Cricetulus griseus: one gene and its partners. The protein of the gene in region 3 interacts with the protein of the main gene of each other region in a biochemical or structural test. Links are inferred from orthologs where the notes say so. Each region holds a gene or a part of one and is shown on either strand. Other genes may lie near its edges.

Region 1 (3,566 bases), on a different chromosome or scaffold from region 3:
CCCTGGTGCCTCTCGGTATTACTCATGACAGGGATGCATTCCTAGTCAGAAAGGAGCTAACTGTAGTCGCCTTTTCCTTTCTTTCCCAGTGCTCCAGGGCCTTTGGAATACTAGGCAGGCACTCTACCACTGGGCTACATTCCCAGCCCTAACATACTTCCTTCTGGGTTTCTTCAAGTTAGCTAGTTTGTTTAGTATTGCATTGGCAAGCCAGTAACTTCAAGAGTTGTAAAAACTTGAAAGTGTTGGCAGTATGCTCTTAGCATTGTTACTGCTCTTTGCAACTCAGCTGGGATATTTGTTTGTGGTACCGATGATAAAACCTCCAACCTCACTCCTATTGGGCAAGTGCTGGATCGCATTAGGTGGCCTGGACTGGCGTATTGTAGCCAAGTATGGCCTGGAAAGTTTGAGTCTTTTGTCTCCAGTGTACTAAACTAGCCTCTTCTCTCCGTGATTATTAAAATAATCTCATTAAGACTAAATTTAGGGCCAGGCAGGTGGTGGTGCACGCCTTTAATCCAACATTCGGAGGCAGAGGCAGGCGAATTTCTGTGAGTTTGAGACCAGCCTGGTCTACAAGAACTAGTTCCAGGACAGCCTCCAAAGCCACAGAGAAACCCTGTCTCGAAAAACCAAAAAAAAAAAAAAAAAAAAAAGACTAAATTTAGAGCTGGGAGGTGGCCCATGTCTTTAATCCCAGGATTTGGGAGGCAGAGGCAGGTGGATCTCTGTGAGTTTGAGGTCTACAGAGGTAGTTCCAGGATAGGCCTCTAAAGCTACAGAGAAACGCTGTCTTGAAAAACAAAAACAAGAGATCTCTCCTAAGGTCCTTTAGATCATTAAAAACACAAAAGGTTTGGTCTATCCCCAGTTGGATCTGTCTGACTACAGTGTTCTCAGGGTTCCTATTCTGTATAGATTCTCTGTTGATGTCTCAGTAAGTATGGTTGTGGGTATAGAGCTGGTCTGTGGTGGGAGGGTGGTACACTAAAAGCTTTTGACAGTTCGTGGTCTACCTTCTGGTCCATCTCAGTGTTGTTATGCAGCATTCTGGATGCAGAGGAGAAGGACGGATGTTGAGAATTTCCTGCTTAATCCTTCTTCTTTTATCCAGGTGGTAGCAAAGGAAGCCTGGGAAAACCACAGGCTGAGGAATGATTCTGTGATTGTGGACACTTTCCATGGCCTTTTCAAGTCTACTTTGGTTTGCCCAGAATGTGCTAAAGTTTCTGTGACTTTTGACCCGTTTTGCTATCTAACTCTCCCACTGCCTTTGAAGAAGGATCGAGTTATGGAGGTCTTTCTGGTTCCTGCTGACCCACAGTGCCGACCTATCCAGGTAACAGAATTCTTCTTCATGGTACCACTTGCTGAGCAGACTCTAGTCCCTGATGGGACTGCTTTCAGTCTGCTGCATGAAAAACTCCACTGACTGACCCTCTGTCCCTGGGTCCCCTTGGACTTAGTCTGTGTGTGCACCCTTGACCTCTCTCTGTCAGACTTTATGTAAACTCATTCATTGTTGAGGATCTGTTGTAAAGGTCCTTGGGGCTTCTCTGTCACTTTCTCATTGTTTTCTATTTATGAAATTGTAATAACCTGGTTTACCTGCTTAATGGTTTAAGGTCATTGGCTCTTCGTGTCCAATTCTTTTGGTGGCTCAAAGTGTTTTCACTTAGTCTTCTGAACTTTTTAAAAATTTCTTTTTTGTTTTGTTTTTCTTTTGTTGTTGTTGCTTTGTTTTTTTTTTTTTTTCAAGACACAGTTTCTCTGTGCAGCTTTGGAGCCTTTTCTGGAACTCACTCTGTATAACAGGTTAGCCTCGAACACACAGAAATCCAACTCCCTCTGCCTCCTGAGTGCTGGGATTAAAGGTGTGTCCTATCACTGGCCTGACACCCCACCACCCACTTTCTAAGCAAAGGCAATATTCTCTGGGTGTGATGGTGCACACATTTCCTCAAGGGGAGCAGAGGCAGTTAGAAAAGATCTCTGTCAAGTTGAAGCCAGCTTGGTCTTCATAATGAATTTCAGGCTAGCCAGGGTACACAGTGAGGCTCTGTCTCAAAAAGGAAAAGAAAGGAAGGTAATACATAGTATCAAAGGCAATTTCTATGCTTTGAACAATTCTTTAAAGGACATAAGAGGAGGTGCGACACACATGCCTTTAATCCCAGCACTCAGGCCAGCACTTGGGAGGCAGAGGCAGGAGGATGTCTGAGTTCGAGGTCAGCCTGGTCTGCAAATCCAGAGAAACCCTGTCTGGAGGGGGAGAGGGTGGAGAGTAGTGACCTAATCCAAAAGTAAAGTATAAACAAAAACAATGCTTGGGAAAGAAAGAGGTGGCTGACTGTGCCTGAATGTTGAAGCTTTGCTAATATCAAAGACTTGGCTCTGTCTACTTAACTCACCTGGGCCACACACTGCCTCTGGAAGGGTCTTTATGTCCCCATGATGTGTGCTTCTCCAAGGTCACTTCATGTCCCTTGGAGTACTCCTATCACCTTGCCTGTTTCTCCTTTGCAGTGCCGTGTGACTGTGCCATTGATGGGGGCCATATCTGACCTGTGTGAAGCACTTGCTAAATTGTCTGGCATTGCTGCAGAAAATGTAAGTGGCCCTTAACATGGCTAAGTCACTTCATGGCCCCTTGGAGTTTCCTTTCCAACTTTTAGCCACTTTTGGAAGGTTGTTATTGGACAGCACGAATGTCATCATTGGTGTATGTCTTGATTCCTCGTGGCTTCTGGCCTTGATCATGATCCCTTCCAGCACAGGGAAACACCATTTTTCCTCCCCTGCAATGATGCTGCCCATTGTCAGAGGGACAAGAGTAGGGCTCTGCTTCCATCATTGTGTGCTGTGTGGGGTGTGGAGACCAGCTCTGGAAAGCCACCGGGGTCTTTAGACAATGACAGTCTCTACCAGCGCTCGCTTCTCACCATGCCTACCACTGGAGGGCAGATGTTACCAGCATGCCAGTGCTGCTAACAGCCATGTTCCTCCCTTTCATGTCCTGGCCCTAGCCTTGGGACCACTCACATGGTGTTTCTCTGCAGGCAGCACTACAGAGGGGCATTTCCGCCCTTTGTTTCTGGGTTGTAATCAGTGAGTAGGAGCTCTGTGAGCCATCCTGTCATGTTTATGTACTTACTCTTGATTCTTAGATGGTGGTCACAGATGTATATAATCACCGGTTCCATAAAATTTTCCAAATGGATGAAGGTTTAAGCCACATTATGCCTCGAGATGACATTTTTGTGTAAGTACTTAGTAGTTTCTGATATATCACCAGAAGGACACTGTGGAGGCTTTGTCCTGTTTGTGTTCCCAGGTCTGACATCATTGCTCATGTGTATCTGTCCTAGTGCCTCCCAAGGGAAATGTACGTTCAGGAAACTGAGCATTTGTCAGTACTCAGAAGCATTGCACAAACACAGCTTTGGTCAGTTGTTTGTTTCTTAAAGAACTAGCTCAGTGGTTCTGCTCTCAGCTTCCTTGCTCAGTAAGAGTCATAGCTCTACCATGTACTGTTGGCGCACAACTTTAATCCCAGCAAACAG
Region 2 (3,566 bases), on a different chromosome or scaffold from region 3:
CCATACGGTAAGCCTAATAGATTCCGACTAAAGGAACAAGTCAAGGCCAAAGTCCACCACTGACTGCTCCTTCACTACTGCAGATTTCCCAAAACTGTAAAGTAGAGTATCACTATTTTCCATGCTTCCCAGGCAGCCTGAGGACCACCATTTACAGGAAAACAGAAGTTTCAGAAATGCACAGCAATACTTTTCTGCCCTTGCGGTTTCTGTAGAATCACTGCATTTCAGGGGCAGTTACCTGCCAATTCGAACGCAGTTTCATATCTGAAATCCTAGGTGGGCATTTAAACTATATTGGCACACAGTGGGCTATACTATTAAATTCAGGTTTAATATATTGCAGAATTATTCTCCATTGAGCTGTTGATTTGAAGCAGACAGCAATAAAAGTCTGCAAGTACAGAGAGCCACTCAGCAGAAATGACAGCAGCCAGAGATGATGTTAGCAGACTTCCCAGACACGTCTCTAATTGATACATGGATTAACTCAGTGAGTTCTCCCCAAACCCTTGAGCATCAGAGATTAATAGTGTCATTCAATGAGGAAACTGGGATGGGAGAAATGAAGGGTAGAGTCTAAGGCTGGGGTAGAGCAAAAGGCCCCAGCACTGCAAACAAGCAAAATAAAAGAGAAAAGAGAGGAGAACTAGATGGAGAGCTTCTATATAGAAACATCCAGTCACACAAAACTGACCTAGAACCTGAATCATTCTGGCTACTGAGTCCAAGCCCTCACTGCCAAGCCACAGATGCCCCCACCAAAAGTGACTTGCTGGTACAACCAAGAGCAACTTTGACCTGGCTGGTCGATGCTGCATGGGAAATCTCACCAATCATGCTATTCCGTGAGGCTGACTGCACAAGAACAACAGTCTTGGTAACTAAGCAGCCTGCCCCTGTGAATTCTGCTGACACAGGCCACTGCTTACCCTCTGGGATGATGTGAAGATTGGCAGCCTGATCTCATCACATTCATACTGGCTCAGGAATCCTTGCTCTCTTGCCAGCTCCAGCATGGCTTCTACATGGTTGTAGAGTCCCCGGACAATGGCTGGCCGGTGACTCTGCAGGTCTCTGGTTGGTTGAATGGAGTGAGTGTCCCAGCAGCCATGCAGTTCCAGAGTATGACTGTTGGCCTGGGCCTCCTGGACAGCTTCAAGGAGCTTCTGACAGCCCCAATCACCCTTGTTCCAGACTGTGTCCAGTAGGCGCCTGGCAGAATGGGAGAGAGGTTGGCCAGGGAGGCTAAGGCCCTCATAGTCCTCCCAGGACAGCACATCCCAGGATAGCAGCCAGTCCAAGATGCTCTCAAAGCCCTCCAAGGACCCCGAGACCAACAGTGCCACCAGCTGGCTCCTCTGTGCCTGGAAGTCTTCCTGTGAGCACATGTCACAACCTGTAAGAGAGAAGGGGAGGTCAGAGGTCAGAAAATGACTTCTCTAAAAACCAGGCTATGTAGAGAGCAACCTACTCCAAGTCCAAGTGGGCTACAGTTGTGCTCAGGCATTCTCCAGGCTAAGTTCTCTACAAAGTGAGGTCCCAGGATGTCAAGAAACTAGTTGGAGTTCCCACAAGTTTAAAGTAGCCAGACATTTATATCCTCAAGCCCTGGGCTCCCATAGCAATGCTTGCTCTCTACCTTAGGAAGTTTCACAAGGCAGTGTTGACAGGAGAAGTAGTCTCCTGCAGATCAGTTCCCTTCTACAGAGGCAGGCCACACTCACAGTCATATAGCTTTGGAACCACTGGATCCTTTAAGGACATCCTAAGTGCCTTATTAAAACATTGCATTTCCCACTCTCAACTTCTAGAAAGCAGGTGCTGTGGCCAGTCCCATCTACAGAGAGGGAGCTTGAGCTAAAAGAAATTTTGTAGTATTTATCATAGCTTGGAGGGACAGGGCTGGGATTGGAACCCAAGTAGTGGGATTCCTTGCCTGATGCAAACCTTTGTCTCTTACTGGTATCCCCACAGGCCCCCAGCCCTGCCCTCTGCACATAACCTATTATTGCTCCATGGGCAAAGCTAGGGCTTGCAGCAAAGATGTCAATCCAGGTAAAATAGGATGTCAGGGTACACATGAAGTTGGCTTGAAGCCTACTGGTACACCACCCAACAGCAACACACACACTGACACGCGCACACACAGACACGCGCACACACAGACACACACACACACAGACACACAGACACACACACACACACACACACACACACACACACACACACACGCCCTTAGGCCCTTGCTCCCTCCCATGCATTCAGCAACACACACTGCTTGCCACCCTGCTATTGCTATGCTCAGGAGCCAGTACTGAGCTCAGCCTTCATTCAGTCCCAAGTGCTGGGGCTTTGAAAGGAAGGGACCATCAGAAACCTCAGGCAATGGAGATTGCTGAGCTGCAGAGAAAAATCAGAACATTTCAGTGGGCCAGTTTGTCATTGCCACTGTCCAAGATAAGGGCTGGGGCTGTGCCCAGAGAAAATGAAAGCGAAAGAGTACAGGCACAGAGGAAGAGGAACAAAGGTTTCCTTTCACAACCAGGGACATTCTAAGAAGGTCCTGCAGTGGAGAGGGGGCAGCTGGAAATGGTCTAGGGAGTCTAAGCCTTTCCTGTTAGATAGTGGTTATCTTCCCTCTATGGCTGGCTCCCACAGCAGGCTAGATCTCCCTCATTCTGACACCCCCAAAGGTTTGCCCAGCACTGGGTTCAGTGGAAGCCCTGGGGTTGTTAACTCTAAACACACCCATGGAGGCCTGGGGCTGGAATGCTCTGGGGCTATCTTCAATCTCTAACTCAGCACCATGTTACTAACATGAAGGCCGGCAGCCTGGGGCTGGCCAGATGGGCAAAGTGAGGTAGGGAAGCTACCTGAGCCTCTGGCAGCTTAGGAGAGAAGGTATCCCTATTATGGAGCTACTGTAAGCCAGAAGCTGAGAGTTCTCACTGGCCAAGCAGGTCACCCGTGCCCTGGGCTCAATCCAAGCAGAGGATCCTAGAGTAAGGGGTAGGGGGACAACAGCAAGTGCCAGCATGAGCTAGGGCCAAGTCATGGAGTGTTTCTCATCTGTGCAAAACTAGCCATAGTTGGAGCACCATCTAACCCACCACCCCTGCTCAGGTCCTGAGGAAAGTAACTACTGCCCCCCCATCTCCCGCCCCAAGAGAACAGCACACAGGCAAGGGCAAGCACTCTGGCCTGAGGTCTGAGGTGCAGCCGGGAAGTACAGAGGATGGAAAGTGCTAAAATGGGATGCCTGGCTCACTTTATCTTCAGGGTACTGGGTAAGACACTTAATGCTTCCTTCTTCTGCAAGCACATGAGCCAAAAGGCCCAGAGGCATTGCACAGGCAGTCCCTAATCCAGCTGACCCACCCTAGGGGAAATCCCACAAGCTGAGCAGGAAGCCTGAGCTGGCAGCCCAGCACCCAGAACTTGCTAGTTCTTGGCAGTCCTGGCACAAAGCCTGGGACATCTGCACTGGCTTTCAGTCAAAGACCCTAGGGATGTGAGATGTCTCCAATAAATGTGCTTGCCCAGGATAGAAACAACTGGGAGAG
Region 3 (3,566 bases):
AACTGGCAGTGAATGCTTCTGAATCACCTTTAAACCAGTATTTTTAAAGATTAAGAACACACCTTATGGAAGCCCCCGGCTCTATGAACTGGGGACATAATACTGAAATTATTTACTGAACAATACAAATAAAATTTAGGGTGAGATTTTTTTCAAATTAGACAAAACATAGGTGAATAGTTATTAATTTGACTTACATAACTTAAAGTTTATGTGTACAAAGTTAAAGCTACCATTTATGGCTCTTGTTACAAAATAAAACCTATTTTCAATAAAGGAAAAAATTACCTTAAAATATTTGAAGTAACCCTAAAGTGTAAGATTTGTAGAGTAGGGAATTTGATTAGCTTTTTAAAAGGGTTCTTCTAAATTAAAAGATTCCATCAAGCCTAGAAAAAGCTTAGATTTTATTGCCATCTGAAAACATTCAATCAAAAGCCAAAATGGGAATCATTAAAATTACTCAAATACATCTCTTAAAATACATCCCCAGCATACTGTAGAAATGACTGTATTTTGATGAAAATCTGACAAACTTAGTTAAGCATGTTATTAATCATATCTATGTAGGCACTGACAAGCCTCACATACCCTATATCAGCATCTCTCACACACTCTGGAACCAAATATTTATCTATAAATGTTAGTAAAGACAGCAATCCTAGAAACCTGTCTAGCCATCTTGTCATTACAGAGACAAACATTTTTCTAAGGTAATGTTTTCTCTTCTGATAATACAAGTAATAAATAAATAAATGCCTATTCTGACTTTAAAAACACAGGAAAGTATAATGCAGGAAATAGTTCCCATTCTTTCATTTTAAAAGTCCAATAAAACTCAGTATATAGTAAAGTCCCCCAAACCCAAGGCCCCTCAAAAGAAGGGTTATACCCGCATCAAGTGAGTCATTATTTTCACAATTTCTTCCATTGAAGGGCGCTGAGAAGGATCTTTAGACCAACAGCGGGTCATCAGACTCTCGATGGGCTTAGGTAAGTTTTTGATCAGTGGTGGTCGAGTACCTATAATTGAAAATTAGAGGAATAAAAGAATTATCTACCCAAAGAACACTGCAAGATTTTTATAGTTTATTTCCAACAATATCTGAACTAGCATTTTTTCTCTTTTAGTTTACCATGTATTGTATCTATATATATTTTCACAAAGGGCAAACTATACCAAAAACTACATTAAATTTGTAACACAGGTGATAAGAACAGTGAGACTAAGACTGCTTGCTTGGGCTAGATGTATGCCTTTAACCAGTGCTTGTGAGGCAGAGGCCAGCAGAACACACAGGGCTGCATAGTGAGTGGGACTCTGTCTCAAAACCCAAACCAAACTGTCATATGCATTCTTTCAAAGAGCAAAGGCCAAATGCATGCATTAGGAAAAATAAGTAGCTGACTTGAGGAAAGATGAATTTTCAGATTATAAAATATTAAATGCATTTGAAAAAAAATCTTCCATTTACAGAAAGTGATCAAACACAGTGTAATGCTCATTGACTTCCCTCAACCATGGTATCACTCTCACAACTTCCCTCAACTATGGTGTCACACTCACTGTTTTCTTCAGCTGTGGTATCACACTCAGTTTTCCCTCAACTCTGGTGTCACACTCACTGTTTTCCTAAACTATGGTGTCACACTCACTGTTTTTCCTTAACTCTGGTATCACACTTAACTTACTTCAGCCAACCAGTATTAGACTCACTGACTTCCCTCAGGGTGTCACACTCACTGACATTTTCAACCATGTTGTTGCACTCACTGACTTCCTTCACCTACAATGTTATACTTACCAACTTTCCTCTGCTGTACTGTTACACTCACTGGTTGCAGTTAACTATTTTACAGGACAGAAAGTGCCAACTTTTTATAATTTATTAACCCTGCAGTGGCACTGGTAAGCTTCCCACACTCAAGAGTGGCTCCAGATACAGTAAGATCTTTATAGGTTAATCAATCAATACGCTAGTTCTTTTACTCTGTTACCTCACTGACAATCACTTGCTGAGAACTGATAGCCAGAGGAAGCAAACTGTCTTGGAAAGCTCCTGTATTTTCTACGACACTATAGGATGTAACAAAGCTGGCAGAGGAAACTGGTAAAACAGCCAAGATTACTCTGATGGTTTTGTTTGGCCAGCCTACAAAAGCTCTAAAGAGTTAGGTGTTTTTTCTTTGATCACCTGTAGACTAGTATACAAGCACTTATTCACTGGAACGATTAGAAGCACGTGAAGTAACAGTGATGCTGTAGTTCCTTATAGAGTTTCTTTATCAAAGAAACTGTGAAGGACCTACTAGTGAGGAAGCTATCTGAACACATTTATGGAAGTCAGAGAGACATAACATTAAGTCACCCTGATGAAAAGTAGGAGCACTTGAATCCAAAGGACCTGCATGTGGATTCCAGCTCCAACACTTATTACTTGTGATGTTAGCACTGTACGCATGGTTGAGAATATACAACTAAAACATGTGTGCAGCACTGAATATTGTGTCCTTTTGAGCTTAAGAAACAACTCTTACCAGCAGTTTTGCTTGAGAGTTGTTTTCCCAGGAGAAAGGGGCCTAGCATCCCAGCTATCTTAACGATATGAGAGATTTCATTTATCTACTTTGCCGCAGTGCTTCTCTAGCCCTGAGAGAGATAAAGGTGCTGGCTAAGTACTGATGGTCTTTCTCTAATCAGTGCAGTTGGCAGCCTCAGGCCTATGCAGAGGAGTCTAAATTCTCCCCACCAGAACCAGAGACAAAGGTATATAGAGTGCTAAAGTAAGGTGGTCTGGTAACAAATAAGTCTACATTTCAGTGTCAGATATACATAGTCTCTGGGGAAGAGGATGGGGGCAGTTTTCCAAATATGAAATATACACAATATATTAAAGAAAAATTTCTTTTGACAAACCATTATGAACAGCCCACATGATTCGGAAAGCTGGGCCACCGATCTCATCAAAGGGTTTCCGGCGTGTTATCACTTCCCAAAGGATAATACCCCAGCTGAAGACATCACACTTTTCACTGTAATTACTACCTACAAAAAAAGGCATTGTCATCTTGAGACCTGTTCCACAGGAATCACAGAAATAACTAGTTTCAAAATTTTTAAAGGAATGGATATTTTGGATAAGAGACTGTCACAGGAAGAATTAAACAATTACTTTCTTAAATGTTTTCAAAATAGAGTTTAATGAAATAAATATAAATAATATACTCAAAATCTACATGAGAAAGCCAGTAATTTTCTACCTTTTCAACAAAATACATTGGCCTTTTTTCTTCTGTGTGCAGACTGATCTCTTTTACAGGCATAATTTAAAACACCTTTATATTTCTGTAAGTTTTCAATTTCTTTTTGAAAAAGGTTTATTTGTTTTTATTTTATGTGCATGAATGATCTTTTGCCTCTATGTATGTCTGTGTACCATGTGTTGCAATGCCCAGAGAGGTCAGAAGAAGTCATCGGGAACCCAACTTCTGAAGTCACAGACCTTTGTGAACCTTCTGTGGGTGCTGGGGATTGAACCTGGGTCCTCTTGCAAGAGAAGCAAGGG
Region 4 (4,154 bases), on a different chromosome or scaffold from region 3:
GCTTGTAACCTATTTTTTAGGGATCTTGAGAGCTTCCTGAGGGAAGTCAACTGCTCATTAGTCGCAGTGACATACTGTCCTATTTGCTTGGCTCCCTCGTGCTCCAGCCAGTCCAACCTGGACAGGAGGAATCTCTCTTCCTCTTCCAATCTCAGGTGCAGGTGTTTGAATTCTTCAAGGATCTTTAGTTTTTCTAGATGTATCTGGGCCTGGAGACAAAGGAAGGGATGCAAAGATGGGGGACGGGCATGAGAGAGGGTCCTCCAAGCTTCCTTTAAGCCCTTCATTCACTTTTTAAATCAACCATGAATGAATGAATGATCAGTCAGTTACGGGCAAAGTCTCACTATATAACCCTGGCTAGCCAGGAACTCAGTAAGTGCAACAGGTTGGCCTTCGATTCACAGAGATCCACCTGCCTCTGCCTCCTAAGTGCTGGGAATCAAAGGCACGTACCACCTGGCACTGTTCACTCTTTGGGAATATTTAAAGATTATGCTGAACAGCTTGCTGGGGGCATACCTGTGGGAAAGGGGGGTGGGGCAAGGAGATCAAAGCACTTCCTGTGCAAATTTAGGCTCTCTCTCTCTCTCTCTCTCTCTCTCTATATATATATATATATAATATATATATATATATATATATATTGCCTTCAAGTACATCAGCTGGATGAACAACTATGCAATCTTAACACTTGGAAAGTACAGACAGGAGATTCAGGAATCAGAGGCCAGCCTGAACTACTTGAGCCACTCTCTCAACAAACAACCTACCAACATCGCAATCGAAAACCCAGGATAAGATTGTAGTTCAATTGATAGGGTGCTTGCTTAGAATGCATCCTCAGCCCTGCATGATCTGGGCATGGCAATATAGACCTGCAGTAATCTGGACATGGTGATATAGCCCTGCAATTTCAGTACTGGGGGAAGGATGAAAGGATCAGAAGCTCAAGGCTCTTCTTTTCTGTATAACAATCTCTAGCTTATGCTACATAAGATACTGTGTCTAGGAGCTGGAGACACGGCTTGGTAAAGGAGTTTGTTGCTCCTGCAAAGGGCTCAGAGTCAATTCCCAGAACACACATGGTAGATCCCAACCATCCTAATTCCAATTCCAGGGATCCAATACCCTTTTCTGATCTCCATGCCAGGCATGCATCTGGTATACAAACAAAGCATTCACTCACATAAAATTAAATCTAAAGATAAATAAATAAATAAATATTCTTAAAAGTCGATGGAGGAAGAACACAGACAAAAGAAAGAGAGAAGGAAAGAAAGGAAGGAAGGAAGGAAGGAAGGAAGGAAGGAAGAAGCTTAACTGCCTTCATACTAAATGTTCCATGGATGTACAAAAACCAACCAATCAAACCACCAGGACCTGGAGAGATGGCTCAGGGGTTTAGAATGCGTCCAGAGGACCTGAATTCAGTCTCCAGCACCTAGGAAGAGCAGGTCACAAATGCCTGTAATTCCAGTGCCTTTGGTTTCTGCCAATATTTGCACACACATGGCTTTCACTCACACAGACACATGCATATGCACATAAATAAAAATAATAAAAAACAACCTTTTAAGAAAAGCAATCAAAGACAGGCAGAGACATTTTGTGGTGCCACAGTCTCTCCATCTTTTCTTACAGTGTAACCAGGCTGTAGTGAAAAGGGCTTGGGTGACGCAATGTGCGGGCAGTCCTTACAAAGCCCACTGTGGGTGGAGGAATAGGAGACCTCCTGGTTCCCTGGTGCAGCACCCGGGCAGGTAGATGAGTACAGCTCAGGCACCACACTCCCTGCCCCTCGACACTGATACCGTGTCAGCAGGTCTTTGTTCCGGCTTGGTGTATAAGGAATGCTAGGAGTTTCAACAGAGCTGCCTCAACTTCCTCAGAAGTGTTTGGAGTGAATATTTCTTACCCTGAACACCTGGATTGCCCCTTCACTTCGCTTTTTCTCTTCAATTATTTCTTTGTCCTTTTGGCCCAAATCCTGAATTTGTGACTCTATCAGCACCTGTGGGGAGAGGATACTTCAGTCAGGCTCTGCCTCTAGGAATGTCATTATTATCAGCCCCCTTTTTCTTTCCCATGGATCAAACAATTTTTTCCCTTGTACTATGTGGTCCTGAGGGCCAAACTTGGGTCCTCAGACTTGGTGGCAAGTGCCTTACACTCCGAGTTATCTCTCCTGCTCCCAAAGCACTATTCTGATTCTTCTTCTTCTTCTCACCTTGGTTACAGACTGGCATTTCCCAGAACTTGGCTCTTTGAGCCCACTGGGCCTGGCTACATATAGCCAATTCAAGTGCAGCGGTGAGTACCAACCAGCTGGCACAGGCAGCTGCTCCTATGTCCTCAGGGAGTTCTCCTCTGCTGGGCTGGGGATAGAGAAGGAGCCAGGTACCTACCTTGTAGTTCTGGTCAGCCTCATCTATCAAGGTGACATTGTGGGACTTATGGCTCCTGGAGTCACGGCACACCAGACAGAGGAACTCCCCGTCCTGCTCACAGAAGTAATGGAATTTTTCCTTGTGTTTAAGACATCTTTTCTCTTCCCCTTCTGGTTGGAATTCAGTGGGATCCATAGACCGGATTGTCTCTGCAAGACTAGCCAACTGCTTGTTGGGCCTGAACGTATCCTTACTCACAGTGACCTTGCAGAGGGGACACTGGAGGTTTTCTGTAGTTTTCCCAACCTGGATGATACATTGCTGGCAGAAGTTGTGCCCACAGTCAATGGTGACAGGATTCTGTAGGATCTCCAGGCAGATGGGGCAGGTCACCTCCTCCTGTAGTTTGTTTGCCATGAAGGAGCAGCAGGGCCAAATTGAAGTGTGAAAGCTCAGAAGTCTAAGGCAGGCACAGGTGCTGGGAAGAGAAAATGCAACAGGAAGCAGCCGTTAAAAAGTGTCACCACTGGAAGACCACAGAGAGACAAAATGAAGGGGGGGTAAAGCAAATGAACAGCAACAACACAAAAGTAAAACTTAAATGGGGAATATTGTAAAGAGAAAAGACAGGTAGTTGGACCATCCTACCTCACTGTCTCTCAAAAGCAAACAGATACTGTGAACTCATGCTTCCTGTAAAGCAGACCAAGGTTCCTGGACCTTGAACTAATTAAATAGATGTTTCCAAAGCAGTTGTCTGAGAACAAAAGAACCAAGTGTCAAAGTCTACTCAACTGCAGGTAGGGAGTGGAGCTGCTGACTGGCAGCCCCAGAAAGGTGGGGCTTATCTAACCCCATTGATCTCTTACTTCCCCCTCCTGTCTTCTATTGGGTTTCCTCACTGTCTCTGAGCCATCTTTTGTTCTGTTTGTCATGCCTGCTTCTTCCTCAGTCTCTGTTCACAGACCCCTAGCTTACTCAACCTGTTTCTTTTATCCTAACTAGGAAAGCATCAGCCAGTGTCATCCATGTAACCTTAGTAGCTCAACTCTTCACTTCTTAACAGTTCATCTTGCTCTTTGCTCCCAGGAACACAGTGTGTCTCCCTTCCTTTCCACTCCCCGTCCCACCAGCCCAGTCTCTCTTCTGTCATTAAAAACCAAACTTTCTTCCTCTCTGGTGGTGACCTCAACTCAGGATCTTTCTCTTGCTATGCAAGCTCTCTAGCACTGAGCAAAACCCCCAGCTCCTGTTAGGGCAATTTCAAAACGTCTGTCTTTATACTTGGTTCTTATTCATGCCCCTCCCACCCCGCCGCCGCCGCCCGCACCACATGACAGCCACTCATTCTTAATCATCCCTTTACTCCCCTAAGTTGGTCCTTCCTTCTACATCAGTGTACTCCGTTATGCCCTCTTAGTTCCACCACCCACTCATTCCCTCCCCCTTGTTCATGGTCTCCCAGCCCACTGATTGCTATTGAATATTTTTAATTAAAAATACTTTTATTTATTCATTGATAATTTCATATGTGTACAATTCTATCTTGATCCGTACCCCAATCACTCATCTTACTTGCCACTAATCCTTCCAACATGTCACTTTCCCAGTTCTATTCTCTCTTCATATATATTGTTTTTTGTTTGTTTGTTTCTTGTTTTTTGATTTCTCTGTGTAGCCCTGGCTGTCCTGGAGCTTGCTCTGTAAACCAGGCTGGCCTTGAACTCAAATCCATCTGCCTCTGCCTCCCGAGTGCTAGGATTA

The links.
Region 1: of the proteins of Map3k7 (region 3) and Usp4, one has a biochemical effect on the other in vitro, tested with the Homo sapiens proteins (2 studies listed by BioGRID). The link is inferred for Cricetulus griseus from reciprocal best matches to the Homo sapiens genes MAP3K7 and USP4.
Region 2: the proteins of Map3k7 (region 3) and Nod2 form a complex in vitro, tested with the Homo sapiens proteins (2 studies listed by BioGRID). The link is inferred for Cricetulus griseus from reciprocal best matches to the Homo sapiens genes MAP3K7 and NOD2.
Region 4: the proteins of Map3k7 (region 3) and Trim31 form a complex in vitro, tested with the Homo sapiens proteins (2 studies listed by BioGRID, with this or other methods). The link is inferred for Cricetulus griseus from reciprocal best matches to the Homo sapiens genes MAP3K7 and TRIM31.

What each region holds. Positions count from the first base shown.
Region 1 is NC_048597.1:216,544,436-216,548,001, forward strand, and holds part of Usp4 (ubiquitin carboxyl-terminal hydrolase 4), read left to right. Parts: intron 1-1,117; coding exon 1,118-1,342; intron 1,343-2,529; coding exon 2,530-2,613; intron 2,614-3,170; coding exon 3,171-3,265; intron 3,266-3,566.
Region 2 is NC_048596.1:164,275,374-164,278,939, reverse strand, and holds part of Nod2 (nucleotide-binding oligomerization domain-containing protein 2), read right to left. Parts: intron 3,412-3,566; exon of another isoform or gene 1,643-3,411; intron 1,400-1,642; coding exon 933-1,399; intron 1-932. UniProt on the Homo sapiens protein: Pattern recognition receptor (PRR) that detects bacterial peptidoglycan fragments and other danger signals and plays an important role in gastrointestinal immunity.
Region 3 is NC_048595.1:110,090,190-110,093,755, forward strand, and holds part of Map3k7 (mitogen-activated protein kinase kinase kinase 7), read right to left. Parts: intron 3,047-3,566; coding exon 2,918-3,046; intron 1,024-2,917; coding exon 893-1,023; intron 1-892. UniProt on the Homo sapiens protein: Serine/threonine kinase which acts as an essential component of the MAP kinase signal transduction pathway. Plays an important role in the cascades of cellular responses evoked by changes in the environment.
Region 4 is NW_023276806.1:228,842,495-228,846,648, forward strand, and holds the start of Trim31 (E3 ubiquitin-protein ligase TRIM31), read right to left. Parts: upstream 2,808-4,154; coding exon 2,409-2,807; intron 2,015-2,408; coding exon 1,919-2,014; intron 210-1,918; coding exon 1-209.